4 linked regions of the Struthio camelus genome follow. The protein of the gene in region 1 interacts with the protein of each later gene in a pairwise test. Links are inferred from orthologs where the notes say so. Each region holds a gene or a part of one and is shown in the gene's direction. Other genes may lie near its edges.

Region 1 (7,320 bases):
AGAAAAAGAGTATTTTATGGGGCAGGTGAATCAACCAGGTGCTTCACTTATTCTAGCAGCTTTGGCTCAGGGCATATAGCCAGAGAGTCTGTATCTGTTTAACTCTCCAGCTAAAGCAAAGTTTAATTGTTAAGAAACAGAAACAACACCTTCCTATGTCTCAAGAAGCTATTGCAGCCTGTCAATCTGTTATGCCTCTTCCAGCTCTTTGCAAGGTTACAGCCAAAAAGTAGGATCCCAAAAGTAATACAAAACCAGAATTACGTAGGAAGAACATTTTTTATGCTCCAAGAAAATTCCTCTTTTTTTGTTCAACAGACTACCCATGGATTTGGACAGGATCCCCTGCTCAGCTGTTTACCATCACTAAAAATGTTGCAGGAGCTGTTCAAAGCTGTTCATGTAGTCTGCATGTCCCTCCATGTTACTCATGCCCTGATACCACTGTCCTCTGGTCTGGTCCATACTAGAAATGTCTGTGTCTGAGACAGGAAGTGGGTGCTTTCCATTGTCAGGCTGCATCTATAATTTTCAGGAGCATTTGGTAGTTTGGCTGACCTAGGTTGGGAACTGCATGTATAAATACAAATACAAATACAAATACAAATACAAATACATATACATATACATATACATATACATATACATATGCACATGTATGCTACTGAGATCATAAGGTCATTTGGGAATGGAGATAATACCCTACTGTTTGTGGTATATAAAGAAAAATAGAGCTAGGAAGCTTTCCATTCCAGCTGCTGAGCAGTTAGGCCTTAAATATTTGGCTAGCAATACGCATTGTAGTGCCACCTTGTTGCTTTGCAGCCTACTTCAGCAAAGGAATTCTGTGGTATCAAGTCAAATTAGTGGCTGGAAAGGTCGGGTCTCCTGCTGTGGAAGGAGGTAAAACTTGGAGGAAAAGGCAATATGCATTATGTCTTTTGCTGCTTGCAGTAGTGGTGGTCTGTTTGAAACAGCAAGTTTCTCTGTGACCCTCTTGATGCTGGGACGACTTTTGCAACGTGTGCGAGATCTGTGAATCTTGGCATGAGTCAATCTGTAAGCTGCTTCATCTCCTATTGACGCTATGTGGTCAACAGCACTTCCTACTGGCATCTTCAGGAGGATTGTGTGAGATTCTCAATGGAATGTTAAAGATGTGTAAGCACTTCTGCTGCTCACACAGTTCACTAACCGTAGTTGCTTTTTTGCCGTGTTTACCAAGTCTTAGATATTCTCTCTGTATTTTCACCCCATGTGAGAAGGTCTCAACATGCCCAACCTCTACTAGCAATTCTAGTCCAAGGTCCTCAAAAGTACTAGGTCTCCAAACTAAGCCTCATGCACTAGTCTCCAGACTAAACCTCAGGCTATCTGTTTTGTGGTTTTAGGATAATTCTTTCAGTTCCAGTGCCTCCCTTTAGATCCACAGGGATTCATGGAGTTTTTGTAAGTTGCCAGCTTTTGATTCTTCAGCTACATTGAGCCGTGCTTCCTCAGGGTACTACCTCTTCAGTGAAACAAGCATGCTAAAGGTCAAATTTAACAAAGCCCCAGAGACTCCTTCTCAGGCTTTACAAACACTCCATAGAGAGCTAGTGGCAGAAGTCCAGATAAACCACATGATTCCAAAATAAACAAACCTTCTTCCCCAGAGCAGCTTCTTCCCAGTCTTCTTGCTTCCTTTGAGACTCCTTCTGATGCCCTTGGATGTAGAAGCTGTCAACACGTCGTCTTCTTCCCAGGCTCACCAGATCCTGTAGTCATAATCTGTCTGGGAACCGCATCAATTTATGATTGTGTCAGACTGAGAGAAGAGACAAATTGCTTCCCTACAACTTCCTCCTGCTGAACTACCTGCTCTCAGGGGCCCAGGTGTAATTACTCTGTCAGCATGCAAGCTGTCCACTTGTCTTCCCCTGCAGAAAAATAACCTCTTTCCATGCTTGAACTAATACCAGATAAATCTGTTTTGTAAAGTCTTCCTTTTTGTTCCTAAATCTGAGTCTGATTCATTCTCACTCAGGCTCTACTCTGTCTTATCCGAAGACTTGGTTCTGGCATGGGAGAACTTGTAACAATTCCTTTTAGGAGGAGTGTGACAACTGCAAAGTGCTATTTAGCAAGGCAGAGGAGCTGCAAATTTGGGCTGTTAAATGGGCAGGCAGTCACAGTGCACAGCAGTACAGACTGCATGTAGCCCTATTGAAGTTTAGATTTCAAAAATTAATGGTCACAACGGGCTGAGCAGAAAAGCAGAACTTTCCTTCCTAGGGCCCCAAACATGATCAGGAAGATAGGAAGCAACATGAACAAGCACTTGGAAACAAAGTTTTTGCTTTTTGATAAAGGTTGTAAGGTGGGAACCACAAAGCAGGTTGCACAGAGTGTGTAGTACTCTATCTGGTAGGAATGTCCCTGTAGGAGACAATGATGGTGCTGGTGGTCCTGTGTTGTTATTTCCCTTCAATTGGCTTGTCCTGACTTTAGGGGGAGTGTGATATAGGATCAGAGAATTTGGAATGTCGTTCCTTCTTCTCAATCTCACTCTTTCTACTTCTTTATGTCAAGAACAATTTAAAAAATACCATAAGATATAATTTAACTTTATAAACACTTAATGCTTCACTATTTATCTGATAATTATTCAAATGAGGGATTGGGTTTTGACTAGCTGTATCAGACAAAATGCTTTTAGGGTTCATTCTAGGGACTCTTTCCCAGATGCTCCAGCTGTTCTGACATTGCTGGACACCCGCAGATCTTAAATTTTATTCATGTAATAAGCTGCCACACCTTATACTTGCTTCACTGTGCTTATATTTGGTAAATAGTGTCTGAATATAGAGCTGAATTTTGGCCAGCCTGGGCAGCAAAACTTTTTCCCTTTTCTTTCGGGTGGCTTGTACTTACAACTATCCGGCAGTTCTGAAGCAGCTGGAATCACTCTCTCCTCAGGTCCAAACTTTGGTCCTCAGTAAACATTCTGGCTTGCTATCTTTTGTTCCCGTGTTGTAGGTAATGCTTGAGTAAGGAACTCAACTTTGACTAGCTCAGTACCTTAGGAAGCTGAAGCCAATTGTTTGCTCTTGGATCTTTGTTACTAAATAACTTCATTGGCTTTAAAACAAAATCCAAAGGTTTCTGCAGTCAAAAGAGCTACGTCTTGCATCCACTTTCAATTTGAGTGCCCTAGAGTAAGACTTAGATACGTTTAAAATTATGCTGTATCTTGACAGATACATCTTACTTCTATTTTGTAAAGTACTCTGTGAACAGCATTTGGAGAGGGGACTAAGCTTTGACAGATACATGACAAAATTCTTTCCATGCTACCTGTGAAGTCACATGGACCTGTGACCATCAGGCCACTCTGAACTAGCTGGCTCTGGCTACTCCCCATGCAAGGCTTTAGGACTATTTAGTCAAGAGTCGGACTAGACAGAAATACATATTCGCATGCTGGTAGCACATATATTACCCTGAGGGACTGTGCAGGCAAAGTGACTTGGGCACTTGGGAGACAGGTCTTCACACACAAGTGTGCCCCACAGCACCTGCGGTACCTCCACAGCTGCCAGGAAGAGCTGGAGTTAGCGTGTGCGTGCTGCCGGCTTGTCTTTGGGGCAGTTCCTGGAGGCACAGGGCTGCTGAACAGCAGTCAGGCAAAACCAGTCCAGCACCTCCTCAAAGCTTTGGTCCTGCTGCGCTCATGCCCTAGGCCTGACCTGCATATCCATGGTGGAAATGTCATGGTTTTCTAGATTTGACTTATTACCAGGACAGCAAGATAAGGCGTTATCTTATCCCATCGTATAAGTAGCGTTGCAACAGAAAACACAGTTTTGGCCTGCGGGGCAAAGGAAAACGCTTTCTGCAACACACAGGGTAGGCGCCCGTGGGCGCTTCCGGGCAGGACCACGGGGCAAGGGCATCCATCCTCCCGTTCATCCCTGGCGCACAGTGGGCATCACTGGGTGGGGTGCAGAGGTTAACACGCAAACAGATCCCAAATTTAAGCAACACCCTCCTCTCCTGCAGGTACTTGACAACCAAAAAGCGCCCCGCTCCCACTCCCGGCAGTAGCAAGAGGCAGCCCAGCCCAGGGCTTTAGCCCCCCTGAAGACACTCCCTTGGCAGCTGGGTCCCTCAGAGCTAGCAGGGCCTTAGGCCCCACTGGAGGAGGCAGTGACCTCAAGGTAGGAGGGCGTATGTGGGGGGGGGGGGGGTTGCTGGGCTGGGGGCAAGGCGGGGCGCCCTGAGGCAGCCACTACCTTGCCCAGGCCTAGCACGGGCGAGGCGAGGGCGGGGCCTAACATGGCCGCGGGGGCCCGTTGCTAGGGCCGCGCCGCTGCGCCTAGCAACAGCGTCGTGGGAGCTGCGCTTGTGCAGTGAGGCTCCGTGCGCCGCGGGGCAGCTTGGGAAGGCTCGAAGTCGGCGGCGGCGGCGGCGGCGGCGCGCTCCCGCCGCCGCTATGAACGAGGCGGTGGTGCGGCGGACGCAGGAGTCGCTGGGCCAAGTGATCCGCAAGCCGCCCCTTACGGAGCGGCTGCTGAGCAAGCCGCCCTTCCGCTACCTGCACGACGTGATCACCGAGGTGGGCCCGGAGCCTGGCCGCCGGCCCGGCTCCGCTCCGCTGGTTGCTAGGCAACAGGGCCGGCCGGCCGGCCTGGCCCGCTTCCTTGACGGGGGCGGAGGGGCCTGCGGGGGGCAGCGGGGCCGCTGTGCGCGCCGTGGGGCGGGAGAGCCCCTGGCCTTTGGAGGAGGTGAGGCCTGAGGAGGCCGGAGCTCTGCCCGCAAGCCCCCGGGGGCGCACGGGGCTGGGTGGCCCCAGGGGGTGGCGGCTGCGGAAGCTCAGCTCGCGGTGGGGAAGACGTAAACCGGCTTCTTAGCGTGGCTTTCGGGGGGTTAAGACCAGGCAAGGGGTCTGACTTCTTCCTCCGGTCCAGTGTGGAGCTGGTCTTTTGTGAAATCTGCTGTTGGAAGGTTGTAAATGCTAATGAAGTGTGCGTTGAAGCAGCTTGATTTTCCACCTCCCGCTTAGAATGAATCTTAATTTTTGTACTTACTGAGCTTCTGCTTTTGTATGTAGTTGCATGTAAAGAAATCAATAAGGGAATAACCGAGAGCTGCGTTGAAATCCTGTACCCTGGTGCTAAGTTAACATTGCCATTTGAAAAGCATGTGTCTCAGCCTTCAAGGTTCCCAAACATCAAGGTTAAGTATGGGTTTAAGTGGGAAGGGACAGTAAGGAAGGAGTAAGTTTCACTGAAACATGTTCGAGAGCATATTCAGCGATACAGCACACCTCTGAACCTGCTCTAGAACTAATTCTAAATGACGTATCCTCTCTGAAAGTAAGACTGATACGTTTGCTCTTGTCAGGAAGTTCACAGAGACCGTTCCTGTCCATAAATGTTTTCTTAAAAAAAAAAAAATCAAGAAGTTTTCTTAACCTGTTACTTTTCCTCTGTTTTGAAGGTAATCAGAGTAACAGGTTTTATGAAAGGACTTTACACGGATTTTGAATTGAAATCAGATAACGTTAAGGTGGGTATTAAACTTCCTTATTTATTGGGTTTTAATATTAAGATTCTTTCAAACCTGCCACAAGGTATTTTTCATCATTTCTGTGTTCAATTTCAAGTGATTGTCTTTAATTTAACATTGTGAAGAAATAGTAGGAGGTATTGCATATTGGTTATCTTATGTAGTGCCTAAGGAGAATACCTACAGATTCCATTCATGGAATGTCTGTGTAAAAGAACTGTTTCTATACAGATCTTGAAACAGTGAGATCTAATCTATGACGAGATCTAGATTTTCAAAGTATTATTGTATTACAGATAATAATAATCATGTAATAAGATTGCGTTGAGGTAAATAGCCACTGATAATAAAATCACAGATGCTAAAAATCCATGCACAGCTCTTCTAAGAGACTGGTGGTCTCTCTACAGAATGTGTGTTTTCAGATTTATTACTTAAAATATATATATATTTATATACATGCACATATATATATGCATACACAATAAATATTCTTGCTTAATATTGCAGGACTTTCTGAAGTGCTCATGTGGTGTATACAATCTATAATAATTTTATTGCTATCTACCAATACCTAATTAATGAAAGAGGAGGTTAATGTTATTAATGAAAAATATTTTTGTTCCTTACAAGAGTGATTCTTGTCTGTGTTTGCTCTTCCTCTGCTGTCTGCCTCTCTGCTCCGCCAGGGATGCTGACTTCTCCAACTACAGGCTTGATTCAAAGCTAGATTGTCATTTGAGTTTCTAATTCATGGCAAATAATGTAGTTCCTAGTTAGAAAGCTATGTCCACTGCAAATTGTTTAGTGTAGCAACTACAAATACAAGGTCTATGAGCCTGGCTTATCTGGTATAGAGATCTGTATACAACCAGTGGCGTAGATGGTTTGTGCAATTCGTGCAGATAATTACTAGTCTGATGTGTACATTTATTTCTGTGGATGTTCATACTGTTATTTGAATTGCTAACATCTAAATTAGTTATACCAGAGACTTATACATGTGTATGTATTTGGTACTTTCCCTGCTGAAGCTTGTTAGTAGTTCTGTGATGAAGAGCAGCAAAGTACTCTTGTTTGGAGAGCCCTGTGCATTTTTTTGTTTTGTGAACTGAAAAAAACAGATTTCCTAGCAACTCTAAAGTAGATCTTTGCTTCTGTATTTGCATTCTGTCACATCTGTGAAGTTGCATGAACCTCTTGAGCACTTCTCTGAGAATTTCTTCCGCGGTCCATGCTATCATAGTTTTCATGAGTTCAGGTAGAGGAGATCAAAATGCTGCAATGCTGGGAAAACAGCTATAGTTTGTGTTCCCCTTTTCGAAACACAGGTCAGGGGGAAGACTCTGTGCTCACAAGATGCTTTGTTAGCATAATCTCTGTTGGAGTTTTAGAAAATCAGGAGAGTGATCTTTTTATGGCAGGAAAAGGGGGAGGAATCTTTTTGTGGAGACCAGAGCTACCTGCAGAGAGTTAGAGACAACAGCGGAGAGTTAGAGTCCATGTTGTGAATAGCTGTATATATTTCCATGCAAAGGTGATCTGCTTTAGGTAACACCAAGGGATGGTACTCATCTGGTGTGAGGATCTCGGCGATGGGTACATAGACTTGGAATGGGCAGGATGCTCTCAGAAAAAGGAGAGGTCTGTACCCAGTCCTGATGCTGTAGTCCAGAGTTCTTGCCGTGGGAGGAGAAAATTGGCAGTTGTTCTTTGGAAGCTGGTTGTGTGGTGCAGTTGCAGATCACTAGAAGCATAGTCTGCAGCTAA
Region 2 (6,873 bases), on another chromosome or scaffold:
ATGGAAGTTTTATGATGCTTCTGGTGCACTGAAGGAACAGAACACATAAAGGTCAAACTGGAATCTCTAGACCCAGAGTCAGTATCCTTTATTATTACGATCTACTTATGCTGGCTTTGCTACTACAGATGATGCTCACAGTGGACTAGAAAATATTCTTGTCCTGTCAGTGTTGATATCTGAACTCTAGTGCTTTTCTGGTAATGTAAGATTAAAGAGAGAGACCTTATATAAAGAATATTTTTCACTTGTGCAGTCAAGTCCTGGGACAAATTGTCTGCCGTTAAACTGGTGTAAACTGAAAAAAAAATCTAATCATTGAAGTGTAATCATAGAAGCACCAAAGCGTACAGAAAACAAAACTAGGAAGCACATTTTCCTCCTTGTTCTTTAGGGAGACAAGTTTCTCTGCCAGGTTCAAAGGGTATGTTCTGCAAATAGATCTCAGTAATTTTATCACTCAGTGAACAATTTCCTATAAAGACTTTTTTTCTCTTATTTTGCTTAAATAAAACTATTCTGGTCGCAAAAGGAATAAAAAGTAATCAAACAATATGAGAAACGTTACACAGTGTGCCATAAATATGCCAATATTGATAATATATGGAGCGTCTCTTTTTCCTCAGGGGAAACAGATGTACTTTTTGAGAGGATGGGTTTAGTCTAATTCTTGCTTGCAATCATGAAGTGTTGGATAACATAATATCCATCTCTGTTGGGTTTTTGCAATAAAAGGGCTGGACAGGAACTCGTAAAGAGATTACAGTTTAGTTCCCAGCTGTGTCAGGGACCTCCTGCCAGATCTGATCTTGGGCAAGTCGCATGTTTTCACAGGACTACATAGGTAAACTTGGTAAACACAGGTAAATACTGAATACCAACCTGAAACAGGATCTTTTCCAAGAGTGATTATGCATTGGTGAATACAACTGATAATATTTCCTCTTCTCCTCTTTGTGTAGCACATACAGCTTATAAACCCGATGTGTGGAACTGTCTTTCTACATTCACAGTTTCAGACACGCTGGAATCTTCACCTGGGGTGGGGCATGTGGGTGTTACTGCAATAAAATAACAATGATAACACACAGGGTGACTGTTCTGTGTATCTACTTTTTCATGTGTTACGTTCCTGTAAAACCTTCCTGGAGTCTCAGCTGGCAAAAGATCTGAAATCTCAAACTTTCTGTTGCTCTTGTGCAACTCAACCACTAGCATGTCTGTGCAACACAGCATGACTAATTTTTAAAAGGAACCATCACTGAGACAGAAAGAAACATGTTTTGAACTTGGAGACATGCTGTCTCAAAGCTGCTGTGCATCTGAAATCCAGCTCACTTGTAAATGTGGAGTAGGAGTTCTATTAAAACTGTTACTGTTGTATTGAGTAGCGCTGTTCTGACATACCATTTTTTAAAAAAAGATTTACAACATGAAATTAGTTGCAGGTATTAAACAAAAGGGATATGTCACATTGGGATTTAACAAATGCCTCAGAATTCCTTCAAGCAATAGTTATCATCTGAGTTTTTCTGCTAGATAACTAATCACACAGCTTGGTCGTATAACGTAACTTCCCCCATTTGCTACTGAGAACATTATTTCTACATCCATGCCACCCATAGATAGTCAAGTGATACTCAAGGAATAATGCAAAAGCCCAAAGGTTTCCCAAATCGACTCATTATAGATTGTCTGTGAACGCTTGGATGCTTTTTACTGTAGGTGTTAGGCGAGAGAAAGGTTGCTATCATCACAGTGACTGAATCTACGCGTACTTATGGTCAAAAGCATGGCAACTACCACCATATTGTCATGCCTACACTCCACTGTGCTTACTCACCTCTCCAGGCAAAAGTGTATCCTGTCTCAATACAGATGGAAGTTATGCAAGGCAATGGATAAATGCAGCGTCCTCATCTGTGGTTGCGAAGAGGAATCAGGCAGGAAAGTAATGCAGTTCTGCCATGCAAATTAAGGGCATGATCTGATGAGACTCGCAAGTCTGTACACTCCACGCACAGCAATCGGTACGCGCTGGGTGAGGACTCATCATGCAGTCCAGCTGCGGGCAGTGCCGGAGGGACCACGGATACATCATCCATCTGCTGGCGGCAGACTGGGAAATACAGCCCTTACGGCTACTTCAGCTGTTTTTCCTCAGCTCTGAAAGTTATACCGGAAAAGCCTTCTTTAGACAGATCAGTCTTGAGAAATGTAAATCCACACAGGGAGAACTGGCCCGCAGCATGGCAGGGGATTTGGCTGAGAAGGCTGATTTGAGAATTACGCTTGGTCAGCAGCGCCTTTGAGCGCCAGGGGCCTCTGGTCCAGCGCTGCGCCCCATAAGCGCACCCGTGGCTCGGGCTGCTCCCGCACGGGGCCGCTCCCTGCGGCCATCCCGTCTGTTTTTCCAGTCATTTCTTTTTCAGCTCTTTCGCTGTCCCTTACATTTGAAGCCTGGATTTCCGAACCCCCTTGGCTTGCCCTCCTCCCAGTGCCTTCCCCCAGGACAGCTTCCCCCCTTCTGTGAGGAGACGGCAGCTGAGGGGAAGGCGCAGCTCGGGGCAGCGGGTGGCAACCCCTCTTGGCGGCACCGAGTGGACCGGCTGTGCAAGCACGACCTCCACCAAGATGGCGCCAGGCCTTGGGCAAGGTCTGGCCGTAACACCACACAGCCGCAGCAGGCTGGTGCTGCATGCTCCACTGCAATGGAGGAGTGTGGGGGATCCTCAAAGGTGCCCTGAGCCTGGGGCTCCACAAGCTCGGCCCCATCTCGGCAGCGACGGCAACCACGCTTTGTTCTTTCGTTTCCTTCCTTCCTTCCTTCCTTCCTTCCTTTCTGCCCGCCCGCTCGCCCGTCCCACTGCCACCTTCGCGCGCCCGCCCGCGCCGCTTTGCCCGGCGCGCGGAGCCCCACCCGCCGGCCACAGCGGCGCAGGCGCGCTGCGAAGATCCCCCTGGCCCCGCCCCTTTTCTCCGGAAGCGGGAAATTGAAGCGGCTGCTGGCGGGCGGCCCTTGGGGGTGGGTGCGCAGGCGCCTGGCACGCTGAGGGGTCGGCGGCCGTTGGTCGCGGCGGCGGGTGAGGTGCTGGCGGCTTGCGGGGGTCCCCTCAGGTCGGCGGGGTGCCGGGTTCCCCTAGCGTGGGCGGGACGCTGCCCCCCTCCCCCCCCGGGCTGGCGGGGTCGGTGGCACCCCGGGGGTTGGCTGCGCTGGCTCTCAGAGGGCTGCTTCGGCCACAGCGTGCCCCGCGCTCCGTGAGGGGCCTCCCGCCCCTCCGCGGCCTGCGAGCAGCCTCTGGCTTGGACCGTGGCCTCTCGGCGGGCTGCGCCCCCTTTCTGCGCTGCCTCTGGGCCCTCCTCGGTGTCCTGGTTACGCATCGGGGGGGGGGGTGTGGTCTCAGAAGGAGCTCTGAGGGGCTGTGACCCTGCACAGGGCTGCCCAGCCTTCTTCCTGCCTACTCGAGGGGTGGAAAACTAGCCAGGCATGACAGTGGCGGAGGGTCACTGCAGCCCTCGGTTTATCGGAGGAAAATGTAAACGGAGTGAGTGCTGTTACACAGCGCAGCCGTAAGCAGGAAAACTGAGGCACCTAGCGTCGGGGAGTTGTCCAAAGCCCCGAAGAAGTAAGTACTGGAGTGCAAAATTGTCTTTTGCACTTCTGGTCCAACTTTTCCTTACTTAGTGGACAGAGTTATTTTTCTGTGTGATTAATAGCATTACTACTTGAAAATGCAAAGGATTCTTAGGCTGAGATACTTGGGAAGGCTTTTAATAGTGCAGGAGAGAATTGTGAACATGTTACTCTAGAGACAGTTACAGTGTTAGTGAACCCTTGAAAAATCTTTGTATTCATGGTCGTTTCAAGACAAATACTCCGCATTAGAATGTAAAGGCAGTGAGTCACAGGATTTTCTTTTTTTTCCTGGAAAGAGTTGAACAAATGTTGAAGCTAGCTCTCAGGTTTGTTGCTTGGTAGTAAGAGATTTATTACATACTTGTGATGTACTACATAGGCATGATGTAGCTTTTTCAGGGCCTCTTGCTCAGACTGAGAAATAATAGTGATAACTTACATTATGTTTGACAGGTGCTGTGGGCTTCCTCTTTAATGCGCAGATTGCCAAGATACTTTTGTATCAGACTTTTGTTCCTACATAAAGTTTTTCTTTTTTAATGAAAAACCGTATGTTGAATTTTGAACAGCTAGGGGGAATGTTGACTTGCAAGATGAATGAGGACTCATGCCCTTGTTACAGAGCCTGGAGGACCTGAGTGGCAGGGTTAGTAAAGCTTTGGTGTACTGAAGCTTTGATTGGTTCCATTCCTGAAGAGGAAGCCCTTTGTGCCAGTCTTGTGTTGCCTGGCAACTTGTTTACAGGTTTTTATTTTCAAGAGGCTTCTGTTTCAAAACCCCTAATTGCAATTTCCAGGTACAGGGAGGTATAGCTGACAATTTTCCAGTTGCATGCTGGTCACTAGCAGGTGTTCACAAGTGCTAAACTCACTTAAACACTGCCAAATCAATTTAAAGTTGATACATGCTGAGAAGGTATGACTTATCATTTTAATTAGGGTGCTTCTCTGAGTAAACTGGGGAGGCTTAGTTTTAATCTAAAATTCCACTTGTGTGAGTAATTACTTTTTCAAGTAGCTTCCCCCAAAAGGGTCAAATAAGACAGTAGATTATTTTCACAGACATGGGCACTCTTTTCTTTAAAGATTAGTTGTTTATGTAGACAGACAATAAAAATCTCATGGCTCCCAGCAATTCTTTTATCTCTACTTGGGATGCAGCTAAATGGAAGGAGTGATTCTTCACAACCTGGCTTACTAAGGATTACTCCTGTGAGTTAGACAAGCAGTAAGGGTCATTCAGGTTAAGAAGAAAATAGAGTTTGTTTGAAGTGAGCTTTTTGTTGATAAGTTTGATGTTGCAGGATCTGACCTTAGGATTTATAGGCATATTATAATGGGCCTAGGTGCTTCATAAATCTTGCTCATTTTTAACACTTGAAAGGGCTCACCAATGTTATAGGTGGAAAAAAGCTAACACTGAAGAATAACTATACACTTTTAGTAATATTTATTTTAAGGAATACATGTTGTAGCACTTTATGAACGAAGGAGATGTAATAAACAAAATTCACAGTAAGATGCTTTGTAGCTGGTAGTACTGCTATTCATCCTCTTGAAGTAAAGCTGTTCACAATCCAAAATGGTTCTTAGCAAAAGAAATGTTTGTAGAACATCGGCAGATGTCTTTTTGAACGTAACAGATGGTAAGCTGTACTATTTCTTCTCAGGGCTTTTTACTCATCCCCGCAGCCATGTGGCCCATTATAATTAGGTAAAAATGGCACCGTGCATAATTTAATGTTTCTTTTAACAGAAATTGCTTTCTATCTGAAGATGGAAGAACCAGGGTTTGCTAAATCGACATCTCTGTGCAGTACTCCAAAGGATTCTGGGACAGCAGCTCCACAGAGCACTAGTTCAGGGAAACGGGTACGAAAACTTAACTTGTTTCCATTAACGTGACTTATGAGTGACAAAAATACTTAGAAATCGTCAAGTAGTCACTGAGGAACTGTTCACTGGAAGGCTAAAGTTATAAGTAGCTTATAACTGTAATTGCAAGGTTGTCCAGGTAAGAAGTGCTTTTGGTATACTTTGCTCTAAATATGAAAGTCTGTTACGAATGCAAAATGATGTAGCAGTATACCCAAAATGCCATGTAAATGCTAATAAATTTAATAATGTAATTTATTTTTATTTTTTTAAACCTCCTTTTTTAATTTTGTCTTTAGCTTCCTCGAATCAATCTTCTGGGTTCCTGTGCATGCAGAATTACTTCCTGTGACTTCTGCTTGCGCTTGAGCAAAGAAAATAAATCATCTGACTCTTGCTCTATGTTGTTTTTAAAAGACTCCAATATAGACTCTCCCATGTGTTTGTCTAGCAATGTTAGTCTTGGTCTTATTTTAATAGCCTTCTCTTTTGTGGCTTGTGACATCCTGAGCAGTTTTTAAGTTTCCTATGCAGCTTCATATGCATGTTTTTTATTTATTTAGCTCTGAATATGGAACACGCTTTGCATAAAGAACTCGATGCACTGTGCTTTCAGTTTGTATATTCTCTATAGTGTCTAGCTCTACTTTGATGTTTGTCTTAACACACAACTTAACATGTTGATGCTGTCAAATTGACTATGGCTTATATTACAAAAAAAATCCTTATGTAATTGAAACTATGGGGGAAGTAGAACAAAACAGAACAGAATTAACCAAGCTGAAATGTGCCCTGTGTCTTCTGTACTGAGACTTTGACAAGTAAGTTTGTCTTAATAAGGATTACAGCACGTGGTCCTTGAAAATTTGGAGGCACAGCTTTCCCATATCTTGCAGCTATGTGTGCAAGCACACATGAAAGGAAACGGTTAACTTTGTTCAAGTTTGTGAAAACTATAGCAACAATTAGGAAGTTAGGCTTTACAGTGACCTACATGTGATGTATTCTATGTAAATAATAAACAGGATATGAATCAAAGATAAGGTTATTCTGAGAAATCAGAACAATCTTTCTCCTTTTTTTTGTTGTTCTTTTATTATCTTTAGCCAATGAGTGCAGCTCTGAGGGAACGATTAAGAAAAACAAGACGTTCATTTAATGCTAGTTTTACAGTGGCAAAGCGGCTCAGAATAGACACTGAAGAAAAAGACTGTGCTGCTTCTGACGAAGCTTCTCTATCAAAGAAGAATATAGATTTTTCCAGATTACAAGATAGTCCTGAAAGCCTGGAAAGAAACTGCCCTGGTCATGCGCGTTTCAAAAGTTCTTTACAGAAAAGCTCTCCCTGTGGATCAACAGAGA
Region 3 (6,997 bases), on another chromosome or scaffold:
CGCTCTGCTAGCCTTGGTGTTATCACCAGACTCAATCCAAAAAGCTACTCCAGCAGCCAAAGTTATCCTTGTGAAGTCCACCAACGGAGCAGTCAAGAGAGATCTCCTCTAAGATAATACAGATTTTAAGGTTGTCCTTGGGAGAACCAGCATACTGGATAAGGTAAATGAACATGTCTCATGTTCTGTACAGAACTGGACAATAAATGCCAATCACCATTTCCATGTAATCAACGAGTCTGCAATGTGCCAATCACTTTATATTCTACACATCATGATCTCAGTGTGATACGGTTCGGCTGACCACTACAGGTCAGCTATTCTGTGTATAATTTTCTCCCTCATATTAATTCTCTTCCTTATCTAAATCCTCTTCTAATGTTTTCATTTCTTCAGGGGTAAAAAAGGCATTTCATATGGGTTGTAGAGTATGTACTCACACATCCTAGCTTGTACTCTAATCCTGTGTGGTGTTATTCTCTGAAAATTATAAACAGGGAAAGTAATTCAAGCAGTCCCCAAAACTTAATAAATAATCTGCTTTGGATGTATAGGACGTAGTCAGGCTACCTCCTTCTCTGGCCATCATTCCGATTGGAAAATTGATCACCTCCTTTAATTTCTCATTGGTGCTTAATCATCACAGTAAGCAAAGCAACTAGTGGAATGAACAACTGGCCTAATCAGGGTACGTAGGAGGACTTGTATGAATTGTCATGGAGAGAAGCTGCATGAGATCAAGTGAGGAGTTATATTTAACATCGGAAGCAGAGAAACTCCTAAGTATTTCATGATTTGGGCAGCTACCAAAAGGTATTTGTGTTCTGCTGCTTATGCTTCTGCTGCAGGGAGCAGCGCAAGGAGAATATTGCTATCTGCTGGCTCCTTCTACCGAGTCAGGAGAATGCACCTCCTTTGATACTCCCTTTGCTGGAGCTACACACATCTTTTTAGGACCGCTACTGTCACTATGGTTACAGCCAGCCTCTCTAGGCGATCTGTTTGTACCACTGGTTGTAGGAGCAACAGGGATGCAACACGCATCAACAGGGCAACAGCGCTCGGCCCATCTCAGTCTTTGGCACAAACGAGATGAATTTGCAGTCTTTGCCTGCATCAATCCTGGACGGACGACTGGAAGACCTGTGAAGAAAACTGGGAAATGAGAGAACAGATGGGAAACAAAAAAAAAAAAAAAGCAGGAGTATGGTAAGAAAGCCCTAACTTCAAGTGCATGAAGTAAGAGTCCTGCGTGCTTTATAACATCACAGAGAAGAAGCAGCCATCTCTAGTGCCTAATTCAGGTGTCGGATGGGATGAATCAGCCTCTAGACATGCCTCCTCTCCACTTAGGAGCCTGAAGGTGAGGTTGATACAGACCAACTCTTTTTCCTGGAAACAATAGAAGATAAATTAATTTAACATCTTGAAAATGTTTCTGTACTTCTGCATTTAAAATATCTTGTGATTTGTTCTTTTTATGTAAGCCAGTGCACGACTTGGCAACCTCACGGTTTATAACAGCATAGATTGGAGGATCCCTTTCTCCTTTCTTTTAAACTCAACTTGCAACACATAATTTTCAAGGCAATAGTACAAATTGTCTAATTTATCTTTTGCGTAAATATTTTGACAATATGAAAACACAGAATGAGCGGAGCATTAATAAACATGGTTGTTGGTTATACAGCGGAGACTCTTAGTGACAGAAACTGCTGAAAGCAATATGGGCTGGTTCAGACTTTCACAGTAACTTGGTTCAGAATATGTACACTGAACATTAACAGACAATTGTGTCTCTGCAGTAAGTTGCCTACAGTAAAGTTGAAAACTACCTGTTTGCTTGTGTCAAGCAAAGCCACTCTCAATTCCTGCTGGGTGAAATCAGCAAACTCTTAAACGTTCAGTGTATTTTTTCTCCGTAATGGTTAAAAACAAACCTCCTGCCTTCCCGAAAGCCAAGGCAATCTAAACTTTTGCCAGCATTACCATGAAGAATTCAGAATCATCCTTAACGTCAGTAAAGGAACATGAGGTATCTGTAGATCCTCACTGCTGCTTTCTGCTCCTGAAATCAATTGGCATTATGAAATGAATAATGGGCTGTGAACTATACACGGAAAGCTATTTGTGTGCCTCTGCTAACACAGGCTTCTAGCTCCCCCAAATCACTCCACTACCACTGAACTGCGGCGAATGCTTCACACTAAACGGAACGTGATTGCTAAATGTGAGTAGAATTTGCTTGCAAGTGAACTGCATACAGCAGCGCTAGAGAAGACAGTGTTACCTCATCTTTCTGTGCAACTCCAGCATTTCTTCCGTCACTCATCGCTGAACAGAAGTGCCAAACAACCGCGGGCACCGTGGCCGTACGCGGGCTCACTCACTATGGCAGTACACCGGCCTCACTTCTGCGAAGGTTCACAGCGCGCGGACCCCGACGGTTGACAGTTGGTAAGGTTATGTCTTCCTCGAAAGGAAATCTCTGTCTGTATTCAAACACTGCATTTGAGAAAACATTTGAATCTTTAAATCCAAATGGCTCTGCCTGTTGTGCAAAAAATGAAGCAAATGAAGCCAATATCGAAAGCCTGAAAATTGTAACAGCTCTCTTCCACGGTCACAGGCACCAGCCGAACAGTTGTTTTGAAAGAGATTTTTCATAGAAACACTAACTTGCACTTTCAAGCATTGCTTTAACAGGATTCCCAATCTTTCAGGCTACCTACGACTTTAAAACCTCTTGGTCGTTACGGTGGGGAAAGGAAAAAAAAAAGGGAAGCCATAAAAAACGGCGCATTCCAGTCTCTTGCGTACTGTCGTACAGCGCGATGCCAACTGTTATCTTCCCAGCGTAACAGATAAAAGCGGGGCCGCGTGGTCTGCGTATGCCACACAGCCCAGCCATCACTTCACACGCGAAAACGTTTCAGCAGCGGCGACACGCGCTGTTTGCTCCGGCGATTTGAGAGCGCGCCCGCCCGTCGCCTTCTCAGCCCTGCTCCCGGCCGCCCCGCCTCGCACCCCCTGCAAGGGCTTGCGGGCTGCCTGGATGCGCGCTGGCCCCGTTTCGGGGACCGCTCGGCCCCCCCCCCCCCCCTTCGCCTGCGCTTCACTCCCCCAAGTGAAGGTTTGCCCGAGCTGGAAGTGGCCATCTGCCTTCCTTACCGTAACGCTGCGCGGTCACGGCATCCTTAGGGTCTCTTAGATAACCGAGAAAAAATTAATATATATATATGTACATATATTACGGGGACATCTATTTATGGGCAGGTTTGCAATCCCTCGGTGAATTATTTGTCACCTTAACCACAGGACCATGCTGCAGACAGCGGAAGCGTCGTCGGCCTCAGCGGACTTCCCCGCTTGTGCGAGACGAATTCTCTATTCATTTCTACCTTATCTTATTTCATTTCAGCGGCCTGCCGAGCCGCTGTCCGTATGTACCCGTCCCGGCACCCAGCGGCAACCGGAGATCGGCAGTGGCCTCTCGCCCGGCGCAGGGAGCCGAGCCGAGCCGAGCCGAGCCGAGCCGAGCCGAGCCGAGCCGAGCCGAGCCGAGCCGGGCCGGGCCGGGCCGCTCGGGCGGGTGGCGGCGGCCCCTTTAAGAGGCGCGGCGGGGCCGGGCGGGGGTCTCTTCCCTGCGGCACCGAGCGGCCCCCGCCGACCGGCCCAGCCCGGCGTCACCTGACCGCGCCGGGCCACCAACCTGAGCCGGCCGGGCGGGCGGGGGGTGGGAGGAGGAGGAGGGCGCGCCGCGCCGCGCCGGGCTGGGCCGGGCCGGGCCGGGCTGGGCCGTTCCGCCCTCTGCACCGGGGGAGGGGGCGGCGCTGGCTGCGGCAGTAGCGGCGGGGATTAGGCTGCGGGCAGGATTAAGGCGCCGGCTGGAAATAGCAGCAGCGGCGGTTGCCGGGCGTGGACGCCCCAGCGCATCCCCGGCGGCGGGAGGGGGCAGCCCGCCCCGCACCTGCGGCTAGCGCCGGCGCCTCGCCAGCGGGCCGGGCCGGGCCGGGGGAGCGGGCGGAGACTGTGCCCTCCCCGGGAGCGGCGGCGGCAGGAGGAGGAGGAGGGAAGGAAGGACGGGCGGACGGACGCGCTGACAGGTCTGCTGCGGCCGCTTCTTTCATCCGCCCGCTGCGCCACCGCATCGGCGCCCGGGCGCCCCCCGGGGCTGGGCCGGGGGCCGGGAGCGGCCGGACCGGGGGGCGGCGGGGTGGGGGCCGGGGGCGGCCTGCTCGCCCGCACGCCCGCGGTGGCGACGACGGCGGCGGCGGGGAGCGGCCCCGGCCGGGCGGAACATGGCGCGACGAGGCGATGAGCTGCCACCGGGGCGGGGGGGGGGGCGGCGGCGCCCTGCTGCCCCCCCCCGGGCCCTCCCCCCGCCGCCGGCTCCGCTGCCCCCTCCCCGGCGGCGGCGGGGGGGCCTCTGCGTGCGCCGCAGGCCCCTATGGAGACAGGGGCAGGTGGGGGGTGGCTATTCCCGCCCCCCCCCCCCCCCCCGCCGCCGGGGTTCCTGCGTTATTTGTGTGCTGATTCGCCCCCCTCCCTGCAGTGTCTAAAATACCCCAAAATACCTCGGGCATCTTCTCCCGAATGGTCTTGTGAGGCAAATGCTTACACAACGTGGGGGGGGTGGGGGGGGGAGGCCTGTGCCTCGGGGAGGGCCAGGCTGCTGCAGGGACCCCTACGTGGGGTGGGGGGGGTGTACGGTTCGCCCGCTGCCTCCCCTCGGTGCTCAACCCCGAATATCCCCTTCCCCTCCTGTGTTTTCCGCCAATGCAGAGCAGGCAGCAGCGACAGTAGGCGAAGATGTCGGGTCAGACGCTGACAGATCGCATCGCAGCTGCTCAGTACAGCGTTACGGGATCGGCTGTAGCCAGAGCCGTCTGCAAAGCTACCACGCATGAAGTGATGGGGCCCAAGAAAAAGCACCTGGACTGTAAGCATCGCTTTCTGTGTCAGCAGCGAAGACCTGGGGCTAAGGCAGCTGCCTGCAGGGCTCCTTGTTGTGGCTTTAAGCGTTCTGGCCATGGTGTTTGCTGTCATGCTGCGGGCAAATCGTAAGGGTTATGAGAAATCTCCAAGAGAGGATGAGTTGTTATTGCATTTCTTCTCTTATTGCATAATACAGCTCTCGCAGCCATTTTTTTTTTCTCTTGACCCCTTGCTTCCTATTCAGGAAGGCAGTGCAGAGTGCGCCTTATGGAGCGCACCTTGCTCTGCAAGCAGAAAGGCCACAGGGCAAAATGGACGCTGGCTTGTTTCTGCATACTTTGGTCATGATTATGCCAGGCAGAGACACAAATGCTGTGCCAGGAGCTGACCAAGTACTGATAGGAGCGTGGCCACCTCCATAGCAGACTTGTGAAGAGGTTTTAGATGAATGTAACTCTAAATGGCAAGGTACTTGGATAGCTGTAGGCTGTAGATTGGGTCAGCGTCTGGAGAGTTTAAGGGCTGCTGTTGAGGTCCCAAATGTCTAAGAAGAACTTCATGATCTGTCTGGTCTTGTGCAACACATTTTAGTGAAGATGGCTGGTGGCTTTCTCTCAAAGATTTTTTTCAATCTGTTCTGGACTTGCATCAACTAGTTAACGCATGAAAGAAGCTCGAGGTCACCACATTTCTGAAAATAGCATAGTGGTATTGTTTTCTGTTGCTGGTAGTGTTTTTGTCTTGACTGCTTTTCAACCCACTCTACTCTTGGTCTCTTCCTTATTTTTATTTATTTATTTGTAAATGCTAACACGTGGCAAAAACACTTTAAAGAGGGTCCTATACCAAGCAGTCTCTTGGCTGCTGTCTGTTACTAAGTAAAAGTGGTGCGTGTGCATGTAAGTACAATTCTAATGTTGTAATTTTTAAAAACAGGTTGTATTACTTCTAGAAAATAATTCCAGATTTCAGTGCTAGTGACTTCATAGCTAACACTTAAAGTGACACATGACATACTAGTCTTCAAGTGTATCTAAATACTCTGTTACAGGTACATGTCTAAGAGATGCCAATGTAAGCAGCATTGACTGAAGACTTACTTGGATCTAAATCTTTGTTTAAACAGACTGGATATCTTGATATCACATATCTATATCATTAAAGATGGAATAATCTCATCAATGGGAGGAGATATGCACATTCAAAATTGTGAACTATAAATGAAAGACAAATTCATACATTTAAAAAAAAAAGCACCTGAGCTAACTTGCTCATGTGTATGCTCATATGTGTTAGACTCAGGTTTTTAGACCTGATACATCTCCTCAGAACCGTCGGTTGTTAAGTAATTCCTTGAACTCCGACATCCTATTTGTGGACAAGAGTTAAAATGGATCAAATGTAATGAGAGAGTAAAGTTAAAAGTTCATCCTCTGAAAGAGCAGTACCTTAGCGCATGCAGGAAATACTGCTCGATGTGAAGGCAGAGCTTTGAGTCACGTGGCTGACTGCATTTGAAGTTGGATAAGTATCACTTGAAAATGTGGAGAAAGGAATGAAAGGTGAAACTTTCTGATGGCTTAAGATAAGTTTTGAGTTGAGATGCAAAGGATTTAGATGATTAAAACTTCAAGTACCTGAGAAGATCACAGGAGGTGGTTGGAGCAATGCTTTACAAAGAGACGAAAAGAGAAAGGAGGGAAGAATGATATGGGGGACCAAGTACTAGAGTCTTAAGCTGTCTGTTATGCTCTGTAATAGACAAATGGTAAAAGTGCAATAGTAAATGGAGCGCTACGTTTAAAGGCTATTTATGTCAGACTCGGAATTATAGTAATGGTGTGGTGGTTCTGCGTCCTGTAAGGAGCTCCATAATTTTATTTAGTATCTTAGTGGCCGAGGGTCATGTCACATGACTGATCTTCTCCTGGTGCCCTCGTTAGCAGCTGGGCTTTGTGAGTTAAATGGAGAGAGATTACTGAATGTATTCAGCTCATAACAGTGTGTCTAGCTGGTGAGGATGGGACAAATGAATGTGGTACTCGGATGTCTTCTGCAG
Region 4 (7,901 bases), on another chromosome or scaffold:
TGCCCAACACGGGAGTGGGAACATGGGGCAACCATGTGTGCCCAACATGGGAGTGGGAGCATGAGGTGACCACGTGTGCCCAACACGGGGACGGGAACATGGGGTGACCACGTGTGCCCAACACGGGGACAGGAACATGGGGCAACCATGTGTGCCCAACACGGGAGTGGGAGCATGAGGTGACCACGTGTGCCCAACACGGGGACGGGAACATGGGGCGACCACGTGTGCCCAACACGGGAGTGGGAGCATGAGGTGACCACGTGTGCCCAACACGGGGACGGGAACATGGGGCGACCACGTGTGCCCAACACGGGAGTGGGAGCATGAGGTGACCATGTGTGCCCAGCACGAGGATGGGAACATGGGGCGGCCATGGCATGTCCCACACGGGACGGGAGGGCGGCGGGTTGGCGGTTCCGCGGTGGTTGGGCCGTGGAAGGTTCCAGCGCACCCACCGCCGCCCGGCCCGGCGGCCATGTCAACCAGCCCGGCCCGGCTCGCCCTGGGGCGAGGGCAGCGCCGGCCAAGGCCGCGTCCGGCCGCCGTCACCGCCACCGCCGCCGCTCCTCTGGGCGCTCCCGCTGGGCGGAGACGGGCCGCATCCCGCTGTCTCGCCCGAGGGCACCGCCGCGAGGCAGGTAACCCAGGGCCGCGGCCTCCTCGTGGGGCGTCCCCACGGCGAGGGAGACCGCAGCGATCCCCCCCCCCGAAACACCCACGCCGGGGGGGGGGGTGACACACGCGCTCCAGGGGGGTGACGAACCTCCGCCGGCGCTGCGGCCCTCAGCTTTGTTTTGGGGGAGAAAACACCGCTTTTCGACGGCCCTTCCTCGCCGGCAGCGCTGCGCAGAGCCCGGCTTCCTCGCCACAGGGGTGTCCGCGGCCCGATGGCCAACACCGCGCGCCAGCTGCCCTTCCCGGGGCCGGGGAGGTAGAGGAGGGCGAAAAGGGGCCGCTCCGCGTCAGAAGTCTGTGAACTTTCATTTAAACGCAGAGGAGTTTCGCCAGGAAATTCAGCAGGGCCGGAAGTCCACGCCACGTGCCCGCGGGTCCTTCGAAGGCCATCAGGAGGGCGCTTGCCTTCAGAGCAAGCTGGGCGAGGCGGACGTACTTTCTGTCACCGATTCGGGAGCCGGGTACCTCCCGTCACGGAGGGTAGGACAAACCCGGCCCGGGGCGCCGGGTCGGGACGTTTCCCCCCACCGGAGGAGCTGTCTTGCGCCAGAGAACAACCTCCACCGCCGGAGGAGATTTGGTTGCACGGTATCCAGTCCTCTGCATAGACCCGCGCGCGAGCGGCTCAGCCGCGTTTTTCTGAAGACGGCGCCCAAGACGGACGAGCTGAGTTGTCGCAGGAGGGTAACGCTTTTAGCCCACGTCGTCGAAAAAAAAAAAAAGCTGACGAGTTATTTTCAGCCATTTGCACAAACATAGCCCCCCGGAGGAGCATCTCCTTCGGCTGGTTACCGCTGTGGGCACCGGGGGGTCCCCCCAGCAGGGTTTCCTGGAAGGAGGGGTTGCAAATCTGCTGAAATCCAGCTTCAGCTCCGCTGCTGATGTATATTATTAGACACGCTTAGAAAAGTTAGAAGCCAATCTTGAAGAAACAGGAGCATGGCCAGCATCTAAATGGTCTTACTTGAAGTTTCCTCTGAAACTCAACTGTCATTTTGGTCCTTAAAACTTAAAATACCTGTTCAACAGCAAAAGACTACCTGCATTTAGTAACGAATGCATGGTAATCCTCTGACACAGAAGGCGATCTGCTTCCACACACTAGATGAGTTACAAACGTTCAGCGAATCCCATGCAAAGCCTCTGGTTTTAACAGTGTCTCTCCATCAGCACCATCAGGTGGCTGGAACTACCTGGACTTTGGGGAGGTGAAGGGAAGCTCGAGATTAAAATGGATCCGGAGGTGTCCATCACAGCTCTGCTGCTTGCCCACAGAGCTAGAACTGAGACGTTCTTCCTTTGAAATATCCAGCAGAACTCACTCTTTCTCAGACATTTGAGGTATTTTACGATGGCTTGTCCTGGGGAGGAGCCATGGCATTAAGAACCGTTACTGTTGACTCTGCTGTTAACACATTTGGAGCAACTTAAATGTCCTCTCTGCCTCGGTTTCCCCAAATGGAAATACTAATTCTTGTCGCATGGAAGGATCATAGAGTCAACTGACTAGTTTCTGGACACCTTGGAAATCTAGAGTGCTAAACTATGTTACTCTCATTGCTTTAAGCTCCCAATACAAGGCATCATATACTAATTTGGCAATTAGTGCACAAAGAATACCAAAGACTGCAGGACCTCACTGCTGCCTGTCTGAAACAAGTGCAGTTCCTTTTTTATATTTGTATTCTGGTATTTCTCATATGCAAAAATGTTGGCTTCTCTCTCCTAACAACTTGCTTGAGACATAATGATCCCTTAGAAGCTGCAAGCATTTCAGCTATTCTCTCTTTAGGACACGACTAAAACATCTCAGGATTGCTGCTTTAGGAAACTCCAGACCATCGGTTAAGCTCAAAGGAGCTTATCTTGTCCCAGACCTGCTGGACATGGATTCTTGCCTTTATTTGAATTAAAACCAGCTCATGAAATGGATAAAAACTAAACTGAAAAAAAAAAACCTAGTGGCAGCAACTGGATAAATTGCGCCACGGCATCAATTATGTCTACTCAAGTGGGAAGGCAGAATAAGAAGAAATCAGGGGAAGGCTTTACCTTGTCTGGGAGAAAAGATGTGACGTTGTAAGATGCACGATCACGGTAGAGTTCACCAGACAGGTTGCAGCGTTTGGGCAAGTTAGTGGGTCATGATAAACTCCAGGGAGCAGCTTTGGGGTTACTTTAGTCTGCTACAGTACTGAAACTCCAACTTAATTCACTCGACAGCCAAGGCGCACCGTTTCCTGAGCACAGATGTGGCCAAAGACAGAGAGCTACCCACAGAGCAGCGAGTGCTCTCCTCGTGTTAGCTGATCTCTTCTTGGTCTGGATCTGCTGCAGGCTTGCACCTTTCCACTTTGGCCAAGCAGGACTGCTTGGGACAGTCTCCAGTTTTCAGATGAAGATCTGAACCACTTGTTGAAGGAGAACAAAGTGCAGGAAGGAGTTTCAAAACCATTTTAGCTGAGGTCAGAGAACGACGTACAGAAGGTGTTGGCAGCACGTCGAAGCCGAGCAACTCGTCCCAGCGTAAAGATCCCGTGTGAAGATGACAGCAGACAGATGACAGTCCCCTGGGTGCCTCTCCCTGCACCTCCCACCCTGGGACCCTCTGCTTAGCGCGTGCGTGCAGCTCAGCTCCACCAGCAATCCAGGGAGCTAACACTCCCTACAAATGCTAGAAATGGCTATTTCCGGCCCTCCTGCAGCCCAAACGCTCGCCAGCAGCCTCCCAGGCTGCCTCATTTTGTGCGCTTCTGTCGTGCCTTCTCCCAGCGCTTCCTCTTCGCCCCCTTGTCCCCATCTCGCGCGCTCAGCTCTTCCGCTGCTGCTGCTTAACCCTCCCCATGTCCCTCCCTGGCTGGCTGCGTGTCCTGCGTCATCTGTGGGACAGAAGCCTACGGGACCTGGGGGATGGGAGCCTGGTGTCACCCATGGGACGTGACTGTCTTGTCACCAGTGGGACATGAGCCCCATGTCACCTGCGGGACATGACTGTCCTAGTACCAGTGGGACATGAGGCCTGTGTTACCTGTGGGACATGAGCCCCATGTCACCTGTGGGACATGAGGCCTGAGTCACTCATGGGACACGACTGTCCTGTCACCAGCGGGACATGAGGCCTGTGTCACCAGTGGGACATGACTGTCCTGTCACCCATGGGACACAAGCCCCATGTCACCAGTGGGACATGAGGCCTGTGTCACCTGTGGGACATGACTGTCCTGTCACCAGTGGGACATGAGCCCTGTGTCACCAGTGGGACATGAGCCTTGAGTCACCTGTGGGACGCGACTGTCCTGTCACCAGTGGGACATGAGCCCTGAGTCACCTGTGGGACACGACTGTCCTGTCACCAGTGGGACATGAGCCCCATGTCACCTGCAGGGCATGACCATCCTGTCACTCATGGGACACAAGCCCTATGTCACCAGTGGGACATGAGGCCTGTGTCACCTGTGGGGCACGAGCCCTGTGTCACCCGCGGGACATGAGGCCTGTGTGACTTGGGGGACACGACTGTCCTGTCACCAGTGGGACACGAGGCCCGTGTCACCCGTGGGACCCGACTGTCCGGTCCCCAGCGGGACACGAGGCCCCGGCGGCACCCGTGCCCCCTCGCCGGCCCTGAGGCGAGGCCGCCGCGGCCCACCCCCCGCCAGGCCCGGCCTGTCCCCCGCAGGGCGGCCCCAGCGCCGGCGCCTCCCTCGCCGGGCCCGTGGCGGCGGCGGGACCGGCCCCGTGAGGCCCGGCCCGGCCCGGCTCGCCCGCCGCAGCCCGCGCCTCGGCCGGGCCCTGCCCGGGGCAGCCGCTGCCGGCCCGTGTCACAGCAGAGCCCGCCGGGGACAGGCCCGGGCGGCGGCCACAGGCTCCGCCGCCGCCCGCCTCGGGCCCGGCCGGGCCGCGGGGCAGCCCCGGGGGGCGCCGGCTGCGGCCCCCCCCCCCCCCCAACCCCGGCGGCGGCCGATGCCGAGAGCAACAGGGTGGCCCGCACCGCCCGCCGCCGCCGCGGGCTGCCGCCGGGGCCGCCCCGCAGTGTGTGTGTGTGTGTGGGGGGGGGGGCGGCCCGGTGCCCCTCACCCCCCCCCCCGGCTCCAGCCTCTCCGGGAAACACAAGCGAGAGGCAGGAACGAGCCGAGCACCGGCATCAATCACCGCCCGCCCCGCCCCCCCGGCGCTGACTGACGGGGCGCCGGCCAACCAGGCGGGCCCATGCCCCGCGCGCAGCCAATGGGAGGGGAGGAGGGCGGAAGGTCCCCACTTCAAGGCTGGTTGAGCTGTGCAGGTAGGTGCTGGGATGTGGGAGCCGCCGGGGCCGGTGCCCCCCCCCTCCCCCCCCCCTCCCGGTGGGGGCGGCCCGGGGCCACCCGCCGTGGGTGGGTGGGGGGGGGAGACCCCCGCCACGCTGCTGGCGGAGGGGACCCGCCGCTGCTCCCCGCGCTGCTGCCCACGGGCAGCGCCAGGCCAAGTAGTGCGGCCCCCTTCCCTTCCCCCCCCCCCACTCCGCCGCCGCCGTCCCGCAACTCGTTTGCGGGGGGGGGGGGGGGGCGCGGGCCGGTGCGCGGCGGCGGCCGGAGCCGAGACGCCAGGCCGAGGCGGGGGAGGGGGCGGCTCGCGCGGCCGCCGAGTGAGTTGGGAGCCGGGGCACGCCGGGGGGGGGGGGGGGCCGGCCCGAGGGCCCGGGCGGGCGCGGGGCGCCGGGGCGAGCTCCGCCGCGCTCCGCCCCGCCGTCGTCCCGCGGCCGCCGCGGCGGGGCCGGCTGCGTGCGGGGCGGGGGAGCGCAACACCCCCCCCCCCCCCGAGCCTCCATTTTAGCCCAACGGTTTCCGAAGGAAACCGAAGCCCCGGAGGATCCCGGGGCGGGGGGGGGGGGCTTCTAGAAGGATCTGGGAGCTCAGCCCGTTCCTCGGGGTGGGGGGGGCAGCCCCCCCCCCCCCCTCCCGCGCCGCCGTCCGGTGGGACGCGGCTGCCGGGGACCGGCGGCGGGTGGCCCGGCCCGGCGCTGCCCTCGGGGGCGCGGCCGCCGCCGCCCCGGCCCCGCACGTCGAGCAGGCGGCGGCACGACGCCGCGAAGGGAAGCAAGTCGGTGTGCTGTCTGTTGGCCGTCTCTCCGTTTGCTCCCTCTAATTACGTTTTGTTCCCCCCCCCCCCAACCCCTTCTTACAGATCCTGGATTTTCCACTTCTTCAAATAAATAAATAAAGAACTCGCAGACCTACCAGGAATTCGTCGAGGCTGGAAGGATTCAAAGTCCCTCCCCGCGCTGCTGGGTGTCCCTGCTGAACTACCGTCGGTGAGGATGGATTTTACCAAGATGTCCAGCGAGGTAAGAGCTCCCGTTCTTTGCTCTTCCATTGTAAGCTAGAATCTTAGACTTTCGCCCACTGCAAAACTACCAGAGTTTGAGATGCTGAGTTGTATTCACAGGCTTTATTTTAGTTTCTGATTTTACGAGAAGAGTCCGGTCCTCCGCGCTAATTTCCTGGCAAATGTTTAACTTTAACATGGAGGTTCAGGAATACGGCTGAAAAGGTGGCTTCGTTCCATATACGCAGAGCGTTTCTCTCAAAAACGGTTCTAATGCCCGTATGTAGCGAGGAGATGTGCAGCCTCCTCTTGGCAGTATACGTATGTATTTCCTGGTATTACCTGTCCTCATGTACTACATCTGGATGTAGAAGTGTGACTTGCCATGAAAAAGAATGATCTCTTCTGTTTGTTCCCTTACTATGTGCATCCTTAAAACAGAGGTTTACAGCTATCAGATTCCTTTTGCTTGCTGACATGGTCTGGCTTCTATGTGTATTTCTAATTTCAAGAGACTTCTGTGTATACCTTTTAGTGTGGCCTAATAGACTTGGCTTTGTCCCATGAAAACTGAAGTTCTCTCGGATGGGCAAATCTGCTCACCTTCCCAAACCTCTGGGTTTCCCATGTGTGAAGTGGCCATAGTGCTACTGTATCTGGGAAGGATGGTTGTGAGGATTTGCTGGTGCTTGTTTTGAGAAGTCATGTGTTATCCTGATAATGTCATTACAGTAAAAGAGCTGTGTCCTAAGCAGTTGGGTATAATAATCAAGTTAGTGAATCTGAATACAAGCTGAAATGAAACATAGAAGGGAAGGATAGTTCCCTTTTTTCATGGATCTACAAGCCAAAGCAGCCTGACTTCAGTCCGATTATGGAGGACTGAATTTAGACAAATTCTTTTGTAATAGGAAAACCTAAAATCTTTGCTCAATCCTTTCACACTGACATTAGACAAATCTGCTCTGGTATCTGATCTCCAGTTGGCTAACACAACAGTAAAGGCTCTTATTCTGTGTATGCCTAATAACAGTAAGTTCTTGTGTGGGCTTTAAATAAGAAAATAAAGCTCCCTGTTACAGGTTTTGGAGGTTATCGCTAAATGTGAACGCTTTCTTCTCAGAAGTCTGTGTTCCTACAACTCCTCCTGAAAGTGATAGGAAGTCATCATGCCGCTTCTCTGGAGATCAGTCCCTGTTTCAAAAGCGCCAGAGATCAACGTATTGGCCAAACCTACTATAGGGCTGTATGAAGTTTGACACTTGCATGGATACTTGTGTCGCCTTAAGACGTTGTCAGTCCTATGATTTAAGTGTGCTATATGCCAACTAATGAGGGTCTACTACAGTTGAAAGTAGTGTTGCTCTGTGCAACAAAATGTTCTGATTAAAAATCTGAGTTAATTAGCCTTGTGCTTCAGTCTAGGAAGCTTGGAGGAGGGGCAGTAAAGTAAAATGTTAAAGTGCTTAAACTGCTGCAGAACTGAAGGGCAATGTCATCCTTATGTTGCTAGCTAGAAAAGCTGCTGGTGGTCTCTGTGCCGTGCAGCCTGGACCTATGCCTGGCAGCTTGAGAGAGAACCTCCTTTTTGGTTATAGGAGGGGTACTAAAGATGTCTGCTTTTTCCGACTGAGTGGATCAGCAATGGGCACACAGGAAGATAACACCAGATCCTCTCTACTGTCCTCGAGCTGGCAGGAGTTGAGAGGAGGGAGGTTTGCCTGTGACAGTGGTTTGCATATAGCTAGCCAAAGTCTGCTGGAGAACGTACCAAGGAAGATCTGCAGACAGTAGTTGTGTCAGACTTTTTCCTGTCCTCTCAGCAGTTTTGCTTAGAGGTATTGGCTTCTTGTGAAGTGGATATAGTCGGACCTTGTTTCCTGAATGTACGAGTATGTCTCCTGTTCCTATGCTGTCTA

Evidence for each region.
Region 2: the proteins of TRAF3IP1 (region 1) and SFR1 interact in a two-hybrid assay, tested with the Homo sapiens proteins (2 studies listed by BioGRID and IntAct). The link is inferred for Struthio camelus from reciprocal best matches to the Homo sapiens genes TRAF3IP1 and SFR1.
Region 3: the proteins of TRAF3IP1 (region 1) and SNAP91 interact in a two-hybrid assay, tested with the Homo sapiens proteins (2 studies listed by BioGRID and IntAct). The link is inferred for Struthio camelus from reciprocal best matches to the Homo sapiens genes TRAF3IP1 and SNAP91.
Region 4: the proteins of TRAF3IP1 (region 1) and KANSL1 interact in a two-hybrid assay, tested with the Homo sapiens proteins (2 studies listed by IntAct). The link is inferred for Struthio camelus from reciprocal best matches to the Homo sapiens genes TRAF3IP1 and KANSL1.

Annotation. Positions count from the first base shown.
Region 1 is NC_090947.1:2,128,701-2,136,020, forward strand, and holds the start of TRAF3IP1 (TRAF3-interacting protein 1), read left to right. Parts: upstream 1-4,307; 5' UTR 4,308-4,474; coding exon 4,475-4,597; exon of another isoform or gene 4,598-4,766; intron 4,767-5,481; coding exon 5,482-5,550; intron 5,551-7,320.
Region 2 is NC_090948.1:14,480,189-14,487,061, reverse strand, and holds the start of SFR1 (swi5-dependent recombination DNA repair protein 1 homolog), read left to right. Parts: upstream 1-3,872; 5' UTR 3,873-4,234; coding exon 4,235-4,283; intron 4,284-5,392; coding exon 5,393-5,508; intron 5,509-6,617; coding exon 6,618-6,873. UniProt on the Homo sapiens protein: Component of the SWI5-SFR1 complex, a complex required for double-strand break repair via homologous recombination. Acts as a transcriptional modulator for ESR1.
Region 3 is NC_090944.1:47,477,877-47,484,873, reverse strand, and holds the start of SNAP91 (clathrin coat assembly protein AP180), read left to right. Parts: upstream 1-3,988; 5' UTR 3,989-4,106; intron 4,107-4,785; 5' UTR 4,786-4,812; coding exon 4,813-4,942; intron 4,943-6,997. UniProt on the Homo sapiens protein: Adaptins are components of the adapter complexes which link clathrin to receptors in coated vesicles. Clathrin-associated protein complexes are believed to interact with the cytoplasmic tails of membrane proteins, leading to their selection and concentration.
Region 4 is NC_090966.1:4,396,904-4,404,804, forward strand, and holds the start of KANSL1 (KAT8 regulatory NSL complex subunit 1), read left to right. Parts: upstream 1-4,900; 5' UTR 4,901-4,960; intron 4,961-5,725; exon of another isoform or gene 5,726-5,841; 5' UTR 5,842-6,001; intron 6,002-7,901. UniProt on the Homo sapiens protein: Non-catalytic component of the NSL histone acetyltransferase complex, a multiprotein complex that mediates histone H4 acetylation at 'Lys-5'- and 'Lys-8' (H4K5ac and H4K8ac) at transcription start sites and promotes transcription initiation.